Linked DNA regions of Oryzias latipes. The protein of the gene in region 4 interacts with the protein of the main gene of each other region in a pairwise test. Links are inferred from orthologs where the notes say so. Each region holds a gene or a part of one and is shown on either strand. Other genes may lie near its edges.

The links. The genes of interacting proteins can lie anywhere in the genome.
Region 1: the proteins of thrombospondin type-1 domain-containing protein 4 (region 4) and fbxw5 interact in binary tests that used the Homo sapiens proteins (3 or more experiments, as listed by UniProt). The two-hybrid records come from large-scale screens. The link is inferred for Oryzias latipes from reciprocal best matches to the Homo sapiens genes ADAMTSL4 and FBXW5.
Region 2: the proteins of thrombospondin type-1 domain-containing protein 4 (region 4) and lonrf1 interact in binary tests that used the Homo sapiens proteins (3 or more experiments, as listed by UniProt). The two-hybrid records come from large-scale screens. The link is inferred for Oryzias latipes from reciprocal best matches to the Homo sapiens genes ADAMTSL4 and LONRF1.
Region 3: the proteins of thrombospondin type-1 domain-containing protein 4 (region 4) and smarcc1 interact in binary tests that used the Homo sapiens proteins (3 or more experiments, as listed by UniProt). The two-hybrid records come from large-scale screens. The link is inferred for Oryzias latipes from reciprocal best matches to the Homo sapiens genes ADAMTSL4 and SMARCC1.

Annotation. Positions count from the first base shown.
Region 1 is NC_019870.2:12,262,823-12,266,953, forward strand, and holds the start of fbxw5 (F-box/WD repeat-containing protein 5), read left to right. Parts: upstream 1-1,331; 5' UTR 1,332-1,554; intron 1,555-3,984; 5' UTR 3,985-3,993; coding exon 3,994-4,131. UniProt on the Homo sapiens protein: Substrate recognition component of both SCF (SKP1-CUL1-F-box protein) and DCX (DDB1-CUL4-X-box) E3 ubiquitin-protein ligase complexes.
Region 2 is NC_019859.2:13,843,596-13,847,821, reverse strand, and holds the start of lonrf1 (LON peptidase N-terminal domain and RING finger protein 1), read left to right. Parts: upstream 1-1,426; 5' UTR 1,427-1,567; coding exon 1,568-2,174; intron 2,175-4,007; coding exon 4,008-4,123; intron 4,124-4,226.
Region 3 is NC_019874.2:27,744,977-27,748,978, forward strand, and holds the start of smarcc1 (SWI/SNF complex subunit SMARCC1), read right to left. Parts: upstream 2,801-4,002; 5' UTR 2,749-2,800; coding exon 2,566-2,748; intron 1,015-2,565; coding exon 895-1,014; intron 792-894; coding exon 706-791; intron 599-705; coding exon 517-598; intron 312-516; coding exon 219-311; intron 136-218; coding exon 66-135; intron 1-65. UniProt on the Homo sapiens protein: Involved in transcriptional activation and repression of select genes by chromatin remodeling (alteration of DNA-nucleosome topology).
Region 4 is NC_019874.2:19,011,967-19,016,257, reverse strand, and holds part of thrombospondin type-1 domain-containing protein 4, read right to left. Parts: intron 1,963-4,291; coding exon 1,400-1,962; intron 1-1,399. UniProt on the Homo sapiens protein: Positive regulation of apoptosis. May facilitate FBN1 microfibril biogenesis.

The sequences.
Region 1 (4,131 bases), on a different chromosome or scaffold from region 4:
TAAGCATGTGGACATTGTCAAGATGATCTGCTGCACCAAGCATCAGCATGGGGAAGAAAGATTATTACGTGACTTTGAATGCTGGTCTTAGTCTTTAAGAAACTGCCAATCTACTGGGATTTCCATCCACAGCCATATCTACAGTTCACAGAGAATGGTTTGAACAAGAGACAATATCCAGTGAGTGACAGTTCTGTGGGTGGAAATGCCTTGTTGATGCCAGAGGTCAGAGGAGAATCGCCAGACTGGTTTCAGCTGATAGAAAGGCAACAGTAATTCAAATAAGCACTGGTTACAACTGAGGTCTTCAACCAAGAGCATATCTGACGGCACAACACATCCAACCTGTAGACAGAGTAGCTACAGCAGCAGAAGACCACACCAGGTGGCACTCCTGTCTGCTAAGAAGAAGAAACTGAGGCTCACCAAAATTGGACAATAGAAGATTAGAAAAATGATGCCTTGTCTGATTATTCTGGATTTCTGCTGCCACATTCAGATTGTGGGGTCAGAATTTGCCTTCAATAACATGAAGGCATGAATCCATCTTACCTTGTATCAACGGTTCAGGCTGTTGGTGGTGTATTCATGTGGGGTACATTTTTTTGCACACTTTGGGCCTCTTAGTACCAATTGAGCATGAATACAATGCCACAACCTTCCTGAGTATTGTTGCTGACCATATCCATCCCTTTATGACCACAGTGTAACGTCTTCTTATGGTGACTTCCAGCAGAATCATCTCAGACTGGTTTCTGGAACAAAATAATGAGTTCACTGGACTCAAATGGCCTCCCCTGTCACCAAATCTCAACCCAACAGATCACCTTTGGGATGTGGTAGAACGGGAGATTGGCAGCATGGATGTTCAACCAACAAATCTGCAGCAACTACGGGATGCTATCATGTCAATATGGATCAGACTCTCAGTTTTGAAGGCAAAAGGGGGTCCAACCTGGTACTAGCATGGTGTACCCAATGAAGTGGCTGTGAGTGTAGATTAACACAATAAAAGACCATGTAGAAGTCTGACAACATGATTTAAAAATGATTTAATTTTAATGATTTAAAAATTTAAAGTGCAGGTCTAGTTCCACTTAAAATGTGACAAGGGTGAACATTACAAAAATAATAAAATAAAATGCATCATTTGTTCCTCTTGGGTCGAGTAAAGCCTAACTTGTGCATTAATGTTCTTATTCAAATATATTTCACATGGGAAGAAAAAACTTCATAAAAACTTTATTTATAAAAAGCACGTCAAATAAATATGTGAATGCCGAGGGGAATCATGGGAAGAAATAAACATCAGTTTATAGAATCCTTAATACAGCAACTATAAAGAAAGTAAAACAAAAAAAAAACAAAATAAAATAAAAAGGAACTAACTTCAAGCAGCGAAAAGATTGAATCGATTGAGTTGGTCTTTCCGCATCGATGCCTCTGCTATCTGCTTGTTAAGCTCCGCTGTGTTGCTGGGCGATTGTTTTCATTTTGTGCGGTTAGCCTTCAACGCAGCCTAAATGTTTCTCTTCAAAAAACTTTGATCAGCAGGTGAGTCACATTTCACATCGCTTGTTTTTTAATTGAACGCAAACTAACTCGTCAACTCGTGAGATGACACTGCCTGTTTGGGAGCCAAACCGCGTCTTGTTGCGACAATTTAGCCTCGTTAGCTAAAAGTTGAGACAAATGTCAGCTAGCAGCTAGTTAGCTCTTAACAAGTTAGCCGGTTTAACTAGCTAGATAGATATATTTGTTTGTTTTAGCTGCAAAGAAATATCGTAAATCGATTAGAAACGCGCTAAAATTGATATATATCCGAGTAGTTCATGTTGACACATACGATAACCGATTTTGCTGTTGGTGTAAACAGGATAAGGATTCACCATTGAACTACATAGAAAAACAACTCTTCAGCAAAATATGTTGAGCCACACAAGCTATGAAGGAAAACGTTTAAGACATTAGTTATTGTTATTGTAGTTACATAAATAAATGGGGTAGGGGGAGGGAGAACACACTTTAAGAGTTCATATATTCATCTTTTTTATTTTTTATTAAGAGTTCCGTTTTGTTTTTGTTTTGGCTTAGGACGCGACTTTCTGAAGAACTAGAAGAAGTAGAAAAATTGACTCCCAAAATTTAAAGTTTGTCCAAAACCGGATTAAAAGAGAAAACTCTTATATGACAGTTAGTTACGTTTTGTTTAGCTGTTGCTTTTCAAACACGAACAACGAGTTTTATTTTTGGAACATTTATTGCCAAAACTGGCTACATTAGGAACGCTTAGATGATAGATCTACTGGCCCGAAAAGCAGCAAGATTTTATTTGTTCTTTAGCATCTAATAGTTGGGAAGTGCTCTGAATAGTTTCATTATGGCATGAGAATTAAACATTTTAAGTAATTATATATAGAGGACTGTAACCTTTAACAGTAAAAGAGCCATTTGGTCCAGTTTTTTACTCACCAAAACCCAACAAGAGCTGCAAAGTCTCACTTTGTTTAGAAAATACCCTTTATTTATGTTTTTGTAACCTTTAAGCCATTTACTAATAAAATGTAGTTTTTATGTATTTACAATAATTTAATTAAGACAGTGTGATATTTTTCCTATATATGAATATTTTACCGGTAATTTATTTTACTCTAGACAAATGCACATACGAGTTCCTTTCAAAATAAAACACACCTTGTTTAAATAAGATCCTTTTGCTGCAGCAAATTTACTTAAATTAAAAATGCAAGAAAGTAAAGTCAAACATGGATTTTATTTTTTATAATTATCTGTTTGGTGTTTCTTCATCCTTTTTCTCTTGAATATAAACATGACAACATTAGGGAGCCTCAGGTTGACGCCTGGTACTACAAAGTAGCATTTTTTTGTGATTTTTAAATATCAATTATTTTTGATAGTTTTGGATAGGGTACTTAAAAATACGTTTGCTGAAATGTTTATAGATATACCCAAATGTGCCATGATTAATAGCAAAGGGAAAGGTTTATAAGGAGAGATTGATACAAAGAAAATTATTAGGATTATTTAGTAAGTTGATGCAAACTTTAAAGTACTGCTTTTATTGAAAGTTAAAGGCCCATTAGTTGTCATACACGTACCTTGGTGTGTGACATTTGTTCTCTGCATTTTACCCATCCCTTTGGGCAGCAGTGAGCTGCAGACACAGCTGTGCTCTGGATTTAACCCAAATCCAGCCCTTCATGCTGATGTACCGCAGCTCCTTCATTCCAACCGCTGTTGGACTGGACAACTAAACAGTCTTACAACAGATGCAATAATGGTTTATTCCTGACAAAAACATTCAATGCTCTACTGCTTTTTTCTTTAGTTCCGGGGCTTTTCATTTTCTCCGTCAGTTCATTACAGTGTTTATAATGAGAGTTTTTGAAGAATTGTATTTTATTTAATGTTGTTTTTACCTTACCTGTGATTGTTTTACCCATTTTATTTTTCCTTGCACCTTAATGCTTGATCCCCAGAGCTGCTGTAACAATTGAATTTCCCCACAGCAGGATCAATAAAGTTCATCTTATCTTACGAGTGTAAAGCATACCCTATTTTTAGTCTTTGGTACAACTCCACAGTAGATTTCAACTTACAACCTTCCTGTCTCAGGGCAGAAACTGTACCACAAGGCCACTGAATTGGTTGGTTAGTTTCAAATCTTTAAATTAACAGAGAATAAAGGCTTCATTCGGTTGCAATAAAACCATTTTGTTTAATTAAAAGTCAGCTTGTGGTCTTTATTAGCAGAAGCATGGCTTTGGTTCAGCTCAGTAAATTTCACAACACTACATGTTATTTCTGAATGTGGAGAAAGAGATCTGCTGCAGAGCTTTGGAGAAAAGCCAAGCTGAGTGGAAAGAAATGAATAGGAACAAGTTACGTACTTAAAGTGTGTGTGTTCTTGTGACTCAGAAGCAAACAGCCATAAAGCTAACATAAAGTACTCGTGTGTTTCAGGATGTTAGGATGGAGGGCTGTCTACTTCTGCCCGACAGCTTGGTTTTGGAGATCTTCTTGCGTCTGTCTCACACTGCCGTGCTGAGAGCTGGTCTGACCTGCAGACAGTGGCAGGCCGTCTCCAGAGATGAGTTCCTGTGGAGGGAG
Region 2 (4,226 bases), on a different chromosome or scaffold from region 4:
TATGAAAGCATTAAAGGAAAATGAGTGGTAGAAAAAGCTGTAACAGAAACAGGGATCACCGCAGCTTTCAAAGGATTGCCGAACAAAATCTATATAAATTTAGAGATCACAAGTGGCAAATGCTCCTTTTCTCATATCGAGCCACTTTTGAACCTAAAGACAAAGTTAGAAGTGTCTAACTGGGACTAAGGAGAAAAAAGAACTGGGCTGTTGCTGAGGGTCCAAACTCATATTTTCAGTAATTTTGTATTCCATTTGGAATTTAAGGTTTTGGAGTCTGGAGTTCTGGGGTCTAGAACAAAAGTGGAGAGGCATAGAATCCATGTTGCTTGAAGTCCAGTATGATGATTTAAGGTCATTGGCATCTGCTGGTGTTGCAGATGACAGTTGACTTTTCTGACGTCCACAATCAATGCAAGCATCTGTCAGGAAATTCTAAAGCACTTTACACTGCCCTCTTCTGACAAGGTGTGTGGAGATGCTGCTTATATTTTTCAGCAGGACTTGGCACAAATATGGGATGAAAAGATACATTTTTGATTAGTCTGATGAAATTTTCTAATATTCTAAGACAGTAAATGTGAGGCTTATATCATTTATGAGCCATATTCATAAAAAGGAACAAAGAAGTCCTTAAACTGACTTGTTTATTTAAATTGTATTCATTGTATTGACTGGGAAAAATAGTAAGCTTTTTTGTTTTGTTTTGTTGCTAAATTCTAATTTTGGTGTTGTATAATAGGTTAAATCAGTATTAAATTACCTTAAGTAAACATAAGGAGTGCTCATACATTTTGCAATATATTTTACTATTATAAGGATTAATGTTTGACCTCAGTCTGATGGCTAAGCAAAAAAAAAAAAAAACATTTCTTGCCAAAAAAATTGTGCTTTATTCCCTTATATTTACTTTTATCCTTTTAAATACGTACAAATAAATCCCCACTTTAATTGTTAATTGTACATCATACTAAACATCTAAAAAATTTGATTTAGTGAGATTTTTCAAAATGCAGAAAAACAATATCATGCAACTTTTCTATGTTTTTTTTATCTCCATCCAATTGGGTCGGATTCCTTTAGTCTGTATTTATAATTATGATTACTCTAAAAAATATGATTACTTTTTTATTTCGTTCTTTTTTATGACTAGGTAACTTTGCTTTTATTACTTTGTGGTTGAATTGATAACTCTCCTGTTTTCCTAAATGTATTAATTGCTGAAATATGTGATTACCTGCCGTTCTCTAAGAATCACATAATAAACTATAACAGTGTAAAATTGAAGCCCATGTTTCTGACGGCGTCGACATCCAGCGCACTTTAATACGTCCCTTCCGTAGTTATGAAACTTTACAGCACATGTTTTGTAACCGAGACAGTTTGACCAATCAGGACTCAGCGTGCTGTTCACGTGATGCAGATTTTTTTATGTAACAATCAGAGTATCTGTGAGAAAAACAGTTCTGTAATTTGTCAAAGACCGCGGCAGCTATCGCCATGTATAAACACACAGCTAGACGAAAAGCTCCGCATTTATAGCATTCCCAGACTCGTTCATGCTAAAATGTCGCTACAACCACAAGTGGCGGAGGCACCGGAGGAAAGACTGAGCTTCTTTATCGGTGCGGACCCGGTCTCAGGGGGAGAGGAGGAGGACCATTCCCATCATTGTGAGCTCATTTTGGAGAAAGGAAACGCATTGGCTTCGAAAGACTGTCTAAAGGAAGCCATTGACTGGTTCTCCGCGGCCGTGCGCTATGGCCCCGTGCGACCCGAGCAGCTCAGCACCTTCGTGGACTGTATTCTCCGCAATTTCAAGACGAAAACGGCCGGACGAGAAGGACCCACAGGCCTGGGTGAGGAAGAAGGGGAGGACTCGGTGTTGCTGGAGTGTCCCAACTGTCGGGGCTTTTTGGGCGAACCCGTGACCGTAGCCTGCGGACACTCGTACTGTAGAAGATGTTTGCACCGGCGGTTGCTTTCGAAATGCAAACTGTGCTGTGAACCTGTCAGCGGCGAGGAGAAACTGAATGTAACTCTGTGCGGACTTGTAGAAAAATGTTTCCCAGAGGAGCTGAAGAAGTTGAAAACATTAAGTGAAGTGGACGCCATGTGTAAAAGGAAACGCTACAGAGAAGCTGTTTCACACGCGACTGCTGTTCTCCGGTCAGGTGAGTCTCATAACACACACGTCTCTAACTAAGGTCGGTCACAAGAAGGCTCTTTATTCATCGGTATCTATGACTTTCTGGTGGAGTTCAGAGGTTCGCGGGGCTCTGTCGGTTTTTTTATTTTTATTTTCACTAAGCTCAGATTGGATACTTTTGGTGACATTTGTTGACCCACATTTTCACTACAAACGCTGAAGTGGTTCGCGGCTCTCGGGATCTCGGGAGATGGCAGGGCCTCGCTTATGAAAGTGGGGAGACTGCGCATGCGCGTTTGAGGAAAGTTGTGTAAGGCAGGTCGTGACACTTTGGGCAGGTTTTGCAACTTAAAAAAGGGGGGGGGGGGGATTTTGTAATTGTGTGAGCTGTTACGAACCATGCTTTCATAAATATTTTTTTACGGCTGCAAACGTATATTCATGGGGCGAGAAATAGTTTTTTTTCGGCCAGTACTTACACCTACTACTAGCAAAGCAGCAAAGCGGGGGTTTTCAATAACAATATCCTCATAGGGAGAAATGATTTTTTTTTTAACTCAAATCTATGACAAAAATCTTCACCGGCTAAAATCAAACAAGTAAAAAAATAAAATCTAAGATAAATAATATATTTTTTGAAGTCCTACATAATTCAATAGTTAAAAAAATGTTTACTAGCCACTTCAAGTTAACCAGTTTATTAGAATAGAATTGAATGCAAATTTATTGATCCCATTGAGAGGAAATGATTGTAAGAATATTTAATATTATTCAACAGTTGCATAGTAGTTTAGAATAACAATTGGGCCTTCAAAAGATATAGTATCACTTTCAACCTACTGTTGTAATAAACATACTATACAATTGTATGTTAACAAAGCTTAGATTACCTATTTAAAAACACTTTAAAACATTCTTTATTAATTTTTTTAAACAAAATATTTCAAACTATGTAAACAAATTAAGACCGTTCCAGGTTTTTTCCCCCTGATCAATAAGCAAATATTAATTTTTAAAATATGATTTGGAGTAAATGCCGATGTGCACTACTTAAAAAAAGTGATTATTTAACCAAATAATAATTTTTTTTTATTACAATTGTTGTTGCTATTATTATGCTGTATTAGGTATGCAAAGTGACATTGTGTTGAAAAAGTACAATGAATTAAAAAAAGTAGGTGGACTACACCAAGACAAAACATGATGACATGAAGGTGCAGCGTAGTGATAACCCTTGTAATGATCATAAAGGCACCTGGTCATGTTTAAAAAAATGTTCTGTTGACATTTATTGGAGCAAAAAAATTCATTTGAAAGTGTACTATTTAGTTATTTCTCTACCCGATATGGAAATCTTCATTCTCTCAAAGTTCCATTTGTTCAGATTGTGTATTTCAAACACAGCTTTAATAAGTAGCATCCAGCAAAATGAAAATTATTCTTCTAATATCAATTTCTGCTTAAAAAATATATGCTTTGATTAGAAGGCTTACTTCCATTAAAAAAAAAAAAAAAAAAACCACATGATTTATTTGGAAACAGAAAGTCAACTTAAGTCTTTTTATGTAATTCCTTCTAAATCAATTTTTTCCTGACATTATCGACACTTTTGCAAAATTTAAGGAGATATGATTATGTAATGTATGACCTTAAGGAAAACTTTCGGTTTCAGGAAACGGGAACTTACTTGCGCAACCAGACTCGTACTTTTTTCTGGTCCATGACACACATTCATGTTTGTTTTGAAGTTTATGGTATCTTATTGGTAAATGATTTATCTCTTCTCTGCCATGGATGGAAACTAAAACATTATACGATATCAACAAACATGGCATGAATATTAATTTCTCTCTTACAGATCCACACATGATGGCGGCTCGTCTGTCTAGAGCGGAAGCATACATGGCTCTCAAGCAGTACCGACTGGCTTTAGAGGACGCCGAATTCTGTTCCAGATCCACTTGTTCTGCTGAAGTATGTCACAAACAGCAGTTTTTTAAAATTCCATCCAATATCCTTTTGAGCGAGGTTAAAAAATAAATGTTTTGGGTTAAATAAGGTTAGAAAACCAAAATGA
Region 3 (4,002 bases), about 8.7 Mb from region 4:
AGAATTAGCGCTTCCTAATACTTTTCATCAAAAACAACTAAACAAAGAGAGAAAAACTCTCCAACCTTCTTCTTGTTGACCCGGAGAAGGGTAAATGTGGTGAGTAGCCTTAGACTTGTCCTCAGTGATGGAGCCCTGGGAAGTAGAGCAGCAATGGACAGCATTAAAAATGATAGTTTTTATCTTTTAAAATTTACATTTTCTTTATTTAGACTCACCTGGTGTCTTTTGATGATGTCTTTGAGCTTACTGGCTTGTTTGGGTTCAACGTCAGGTGACAAAAAGACGATGGGCCGAGTCAAACAGTTATTCTACAGTAAATAAAAAATTAATTAATTAATAAAATTTTACATTAAAATAAATATCCATTCAGACGACATAAAGGTATTTAAAAAAAAGCATCAGAGAAAGCAGTGAAACTTGCAGATGAGAGCAGTTTTGTAATAGTCGATAATTAAATTCTAAATGTAAAGACCCTCTAGTTTCAGCATCAGGTAAAGTTTTTCCACCTCATACCTGTACGAGGTTCTTCTCTACATTAAGGAACATTTCCACATTCCTGTCCATTCGAGACGGATTCTGCAGATCAAAACGGCGCCTGAAAGTACAACAAAAGTCATTTTGTAACGTAAAAACAACAAATATGTCAGCACGACAGATTCATCATTACATTTTTCCTGCAATATGTATTAGAAACAAACTCACCATCCCTGCTCGCTCTTAAACTTATAGACTGATCCCAGGATGTGACAGAGAGCCCCTCCTGCCTTAAAATCCATAAAACATTTTGCCTGGTGGACAGAAAGGAATAATCAGGATAGTTTTAGTTAACTTTAAACTGTACCATGTTAGGGGTTATCACATCTGTGTTTTGTAATCAATGTGCTGGCTTACAGGCAACTTAGTAAGAGCAGGATTGTTGACCCTGCGTCCAAACGCATCCTCCTGAAACTGCAGCAATTGGACCACCAAACCGGCCAACGATTTACTGGATGGGGAATCGTTCTGGACATACTGGACCCAAAAAGAGACAAATGTTTGAAAAAACAAAACAAAAACATTCTTAACAAAAAAGTTTCTACAACAGACACACCATTACTCTTGACATCAATTTATTATTTAATGCAAAAATAAAAAAATAAAAGTCTGTTTTTGCCTATTAATAACAAATGTATTTTTGCTGAGATTTTAGATCAAGTTAGGGGCCTAATTTGACTAAGATTTGATTTATTCTGCAAACAGAACTTTTACCGTCGGAATTTTTAACCTACAAATACCAGGACCGGTTTAGAAGACATATTCATGTGACAAAACGTTTTAAGAAAACAAGATTTACCCATAAAACCTCAGTTTTATTCTAATGTGAAAAAAGTGATCGAAAAAAGGTTTGACTGCTTTTGCTGCAGCAGCTTCAAATCTTTGGAATCTCCCACTCTTTTCCTCACCATCTAATTATAAGTCTTCTCTTAAAATAAATTTTTTACTTGGCATGTATACGTATTAAAAGGGGACTTTATTTAATCTATAATTTTATTTCAATACTATCACTTTTTAAAAGTTTTTTTTTCCTATTGTCTGCAATTTTACAGCACTTTAGGTTTGCAGGAACTCGCTGATAAAGATTGATTGTTCCAGTTGTCTTTATAACGATGAGAAGGTTATGATTAAAAAAAGGTAAAGCTGAACATGCAATGTTTCTTTTCTAGACTTGGCTAAAATGTACAGGAAATTATATTTATACGAACTTGATTTTTTTTTTTTTTTTTTGGAAAATAGTTTTAAAAATAAAATAAAAGTTATAAAGGTGCGTGATATTTCATGAAACTGCTGAGTTACTATGTAAATATTGAAAGAGAGTGGGAGTGAGGGTCTAAATACAGGAAAGAGTCTTTGTTTGCAAACCCACCCACTGGTGGGCGAGTAAAAACTGGAGCTGAACATGCAGCTGCTACTGTACTGTTGTTGACAAAACCCATCCAGCTCTTAACTCAAAACATACAGAATCTTTTAAATCCACGGGCAAACCAGATCCATGCTTCCCGTCAAGGCTGCATGTTGTTATAGTAGTGTAATGAAAAGCATTTCATTTATTTTGTTCATGGAGTCCCGTGACTTTTCTGTTAGCTTCTGTCTGAGGCCTGTTCCTGTACGAAATGCACTATACTATAGTACCTTTCAATTTCCACTACCCGAGTAAATACTACGTGTGATAATAACGTGAAAACAGCATTTGTGTCATTAAGGGGCTGTCTGTAAACATTTGAGCTGCGGCTGCTATGTGTGTCGTCTATAGCGAATTAGCAGTTAGAAAGCTAATCATGTGCTAGCTAATTGATAAACAGCTTCGTTCAGGCCAAGTATTAGCATGCTTCTAGTTTACGTTTTTCCTGTTAGCATCTATTTTTTAAGTCCTTGGTCCTTAAACAAAATTTAAACTACACACACCTTCATAAATCTTTGCTATTCCAATCGTTGAATAGCTAAAGTTAGCTGAAACACCAGCACTCCATTGTGCTAGCCAGACGCGGGCCGTCTCTTGGACTGAAGCAACTAGTACTAGCTTACCTTCTTGTAGTGCTTTCCAATCCAGAGTCGAACCGATTCCAGCTGGGACACAGTTTCTGAGCTCTCCCAAAATTTCGTTGATGGACCACCATCTTTCTTTCTTCCTACTGCTGTTCCGCTGCCGACAGGGCCAGATGCTGGTCCGCCCGAGCCTGTTCCTGCCGTTGTCGCCGCCATCGCCATTGTATGTTTAGCTCGTTGTCTTTCTCTCCCACAGCGTACCGCACTGTGCAAGTTTTTGAATGATATTGCGCAGCCGCAAACATCTTCCCGCATTTTGAATCTCGCGAGACTCGCACTTGACTGGGCTTTTGGGAAATGTATTGAAATAAGATGCTGGAAAAATTACTGGGGAAAAAAAGATTAGGCTGTGTCCGAATTCCTACCCTAATCCCTAACTACTAAAACCCTATATAGTGCGGCACTATATAATTTTGATTACTCGGTCAAGTTAGTTTTTTTTTCTTAAAATCTCCCAACATTGTGGTTGTTTAACCCCTACAAAAAAAGGTAATCGTAATCAACCCATCTTTTTCATTCAGTGTGACCAATTATTGTGGTTTGATAAATAAAATTATTTCTAACACGTGTTACCACTGCTTTTTAAACAACAAACTTCTTAGACTATTTTCAGTCTTCCATTTATCGACATTACTGCCTATAAAAGTCCCAAACAATCAATTTAATGGTTCAGGGAAAATCTTGGGTGGGATGAGACAAATAACTTAATCGATGAGCAAAAACTATTTTAATATTTAAATGAAAATGACAGTTCTTTTGTGTTTTCTTGCAAACATATATACTTTTTTTTCTGTCTGCCTCTAAGCTGGGTGTTGAGAAAAATAATTGTACGAACAATATGTGAATTTTTACACAAGATATCAACATATAGACAATGATCTGTTGTTAATGTAAATATTACAGCATACACACAAGTTACTAAATTTAGGTTAAATACAAAATGGCAATTCAACCAAACAGCATCATGGCAGTTCCTGACCAGTAGATGGCAGAAAAAAAACATGTTTGCTCGTTTTCAGGAAAATATGTGTAAATCTGAATAAAACAAAGCAAATAATAATATTATATAAGAATAAGAATAATCAGTTTTTGTGAAAGAGGACAGAGTAAAGAGTTGCAGTAATTAATGCAGGAAGTGACAAGGCTGTGGACAAGTACAGATGCAGAATGGGGGTTGAGAACAGGCAAAAGTGGTTGATTTTTTGCAGGACTAAATTTGATGACTGAGCCATGTTATTGATATTATTTGACACCCAGACTCTTAACTTGAGGGAAGCAGGGAACTGTGGTGGAATAAACCCTGATAAAAAATGTTTAACTTTACAAAGTGTGGAGCTAGAAAAGTAAAAAAATAACAAAGAATGGAAACATTTTAAAGACAGCTTAAGACAGCTGAAGTCATTGCAAAATTAAAGT
Region 4 (4,291 bases):
CAGATGATTATCATAGTAAACACTGTCATTAAGCTAATGGTGCCTTAAATTCCCACTTTGATCTATTTTCTAAGCGGTCTTTAAATTGTGATAATGCAGTTTCTAGCCTTAATTAAAAAAAAAAAGCTGTTGTTTTATATAACATAGTTTCTGCACAGCAGCAGGAGTTTATCAGAAATGTATGTCTGATTTGTTGGCGGGACTGTTGGGGCTGAGTAAGCCTGTCCCCATTTCCCAACATCAATCTGTTTACAAGCTCTCCTACTAGCTTACAGCCCCACACCCCACACAAAACCCAAGATAACATTAACGGTGCAACAAAAATCGTGAGTAATATTGGTGCTTTGCAACAGTACAGTTTGGAGCCACATGCCAGTTCGAGAGGGAAAAAAAAGACATACATGGATCTATTTGTCTGCAAGCGGATGCATCAGAATGAAGTGGCGCAGGACGGTTGTGGCCTGCAGTTGTAACTTTTATGTCACACTTAAGAGCTTTTTCAACGTCATTTTTGTGTCTGCTTCTGATTCACAATGATTTAAATTTAAAAAACACAATTTAAGATTAATTTTCTCTTTATATAAAATCTCTGTCATGAGAAAAATTCCACAAAAACCCGTACCGTTTCCATCGGAGTGGGTCTTTAATAATCCTCAACAATGTGGGGTACATTGAAACTCTATTTCCTTCTCTCTGGCTTCTCGTTGTGCTTTCTCTGATGAGATACATATCTTCTCTTTGTCTTTTAAGAATGTGACAGCTACTGTTTAACCCAAACAAAGCTCTGTTGCTAATGCCACCCATGCAAGAATCACTTCCTTTTGTGTGAAAGAATGTCTCCTTAAAAAGGAGAACTCAGGGTGCTGACAGGACCAAACACACAAGCTTTTATTCTCAGACATCAAAAATGAAAACACAGAACTTTGATGAACTATAATTGATCACTAGTTCAAAAACAAACTAAACATTTATGTTAGGATGAGTTCATAAAAAAGTGAAACATTAGATTGAAATCCCTTTTTAGCTTTGTCTGTGCTCCCCTGCAGCAAAAACCTCATGAATTTTAATATAAAAAGGATCCTTCAAAAAGCCCCACAAAAGAAGAGACATCAACAGGGAAAAATCCACATCTATTCAAAAACATTTAAAAAAAACTAACCCGAGGTTTCCTCTTATGTCAAATGAAATCTGTGGACCAAAACAAATTTTAGGTTTTGTTTGCTACAGGGCTGTTCATCTCTGACATGAGGATGGTTAAAGAAACCACTCATCTATGTTGATGGTTATGGTCAGAGGCAAAGCAAACCTTCAGAATGATGCTTTAAGGTGTTTCCTTTCTTTCTGCTCTTAGTGATTTAGGTTGGGTTGATGTACATTGAATTCCTTCAGGGTCACTCACCTCCTTGAAGTTGAAACCTCTCGATTGGTCGAGACTGAGCGTCTGCTCCCACCTGCTCCGGCTCTCTCTGCTCCTGGGTTTTGTGGCCTCCTGAAGACTCTTGGTGGCTGGTTGTAGCCTTGTGAAGGCACGTGGTAGGGGGAGCGGTAAGAAGAAACTGCATCTTGATTGGTTGAGGGAAAATCTGGATGATAAAAAGGAAGCGAGCGGGCAGGTTGCCCTGGAGCAGCAGCAGGTGAGTTCAGATACAAGGGCAATCCTGGGTTGTTATTGGTGGAGACTGATGGAGAGTTATACGATGGATGTTGCCCAGGGTGACGAGACTGGTAGTATGGGCTCACAGGTGAGGTCGCAGGGCGTCCGTTGCCCCCAGGGAGATATCCTGCCCAATTGAGTGGGGAGAAGGGGCGGGTCTGAGGAGGTGGAGGGGCCAGACACAGCCTGCTTCTCAGTGAGACACCTACGCCGCAAGTTTGAGAACATTCTGACCACTCCCCCCAGAGGGACCACACGCCCTCCACAGGCTCCACCTCAAAAACCTGTCTGGACCTACGAGAGGCCGCCTGAAAACACAAACACACAGAGACAAAAAAAACCATCTGAGCATGCAATAATTTGTTTGAGAACATTAAACGTTATATATATTTTTAAATACAATTTTCAATACACACAGGGGAGATATAGAGTTGGTAAAACACTAAAAATGTAATTTAATAGGGGGAAAAATGTGGTACAAAAATAGAACTAGGAGGATATCAGAGAAACTGCAGATTTAAATTATAGAGTTTTAAGTTTGGATTGAAAAAGGAAAGAACTACAGTAACAGATATCACAAGGAAGAGAATTCTGAAAGCTCTGCCACACATGAAGCTGAGATCTGAAATGTACAGATGCTGCACATCTCAGGATTGTAGAATAAAAAGTAAAGGGGTGATGAAGTTCAGGGCTTTAATTATTTTCTTCAAAAACTGTCTGGAATTCATTTTTGTTCAAAGACGAACTTCTTAAGCAGACGAGGATCAATGGTGCTAAGAAGAACTAAATAAACATTTGTTGTCTGGATTTCCTTACCGTAATTTAAGGCCAAACAGCCACATTTAACATATAATTTACTCTCCCTGAGGCCACAATCTCTTTTATTCAGAGATCTGTCGTTTTTTTTTCCTCTTACGTTCTTAAAATCTAAAAACAATATCAAAAAAGCAGCTGATTATACCTGGATGATATCATTTTAATCTCTTCTAGTACTTTTTCCTGATGTGTCCCATAAATTGTACTATACTGACTGACTAAAAGCTGCTGTAAGTTATAGAAGTGAAACCTTTTCCATCGCAAAATCCTAACTCTCTGCTGGGATTTCTTTCTCTGCCGTCTCGTGACTTTCCTTCCTCTGAGGCAAAAATATAAATCCTGAATTCTTCATACTGCGCTTTGGCTCAAAGACACTGTGTCACCTGCCAACGCCACAAGAGCAGCTGAACAAACTGACTGGAGTTGGTGGGATATGTCCACAACAAAATCAGTTAAGGCTTTGATTCACTCCTGTGAGGTTGTAGATAAATGTTTTTCCTCTCATTTCATAACCGAGGCACTGGCCTGGTTGGCAGTGTGGCAAACATGCGAGCTGAACAAAAGTTTCCATTGAGAAGGCACCAAAATCTGCGCTCAACTTCCCCTGCACTCTCTGCAAAAGCATGCGTGCTTCAGGGGTGTGGACATGGGCAGACACAGATAAGAATATGAAACAAACAGTTGGTGGATGGGTAAAGGAGGACAGGTGTTGAGATGCAAACTTGTATTTTCATGCACACTTGTTAAGTCCTGCCTCACGGGCTCCCATTAGTCCGAGAAAATGAAAGAGAAAGGTTCCAGTGGAAGGGAGTTTGCACAGGTTTGTGGGTACAAAAAAAGGTTTTCGATGTATTGAATCCCACCAAGAGGTGTTCTTAAATCTCTTTTTGCAAGTTTAAAGGGCCTAAATTATGCTAAATCAACTTTTTTTAGCTTTTAAGAGTATTATAATGTTAATTCCTCACAAAAAAAAAACAATCCCAAAGCACTATTTTTTATCTGTTCATGCATTTCTTAGTATTCCTCTAAAAACCTGTACCCCTCCCAACCCATGTAAACAAGCGGGTTCTCACATTGTGATGTAGATCAGTGAGGAACCGCCCCTTCCAGGAAGAGTCTGCACTGCCAGCTCCGCCCACAGGATAACACACACCTTCTTAGCGGTGATCAGCAAAAGCCCCTTCATTTTATATGTGCAATATGAACATCCATCTTTGCAAAAGTTTGGATGTTGTTTATTTTCGTGGGCGAGACGCAGACACGCTGCCGAGGCCAGCTCTAGGTTGACGTCATGAAATGTGCGACACCCAAATGAGCGAAAGCCGGTGCCTCAGATATCAAGTTGTCCTAGTTATGGGCTGGAAAAGAACTCAGGAAAGGAATTAATATTTGATTAGAAAATTTGCTATTCAGTGTGCCAAAGGTAATCTATTATCATATATATGAATGTAGATTACTCAAAAAAGCTTAAGAATAGCATGCTATAGGCCCTTTAAATCAAGTTTGAAGCATTTGGATACAAATCCAAGACAAGTCTATAGTCCGAAAACTTCTAAAATAATATTCTATTGTCACAAATTGTTGTTAAACTACTTTAAACAACTTGTGGGGACACAATAACAGCCAGTGGTGTGCAAACGCTGTGTAAAGACAGTTTTCATTTATTTTTTCTGACATTGATGTCCTGGAGCTAAAAAAAAAAAGAGGAAAAAAAACAGATAAACTTTGTCCACTTGCTTATCTGTTTCTGCCTCAAGTTTCTGCAGGCGATACTGAAGTTCGAGTTTTTAAGTCCAAGTCCATGTCTCAGGTGGCATCTAA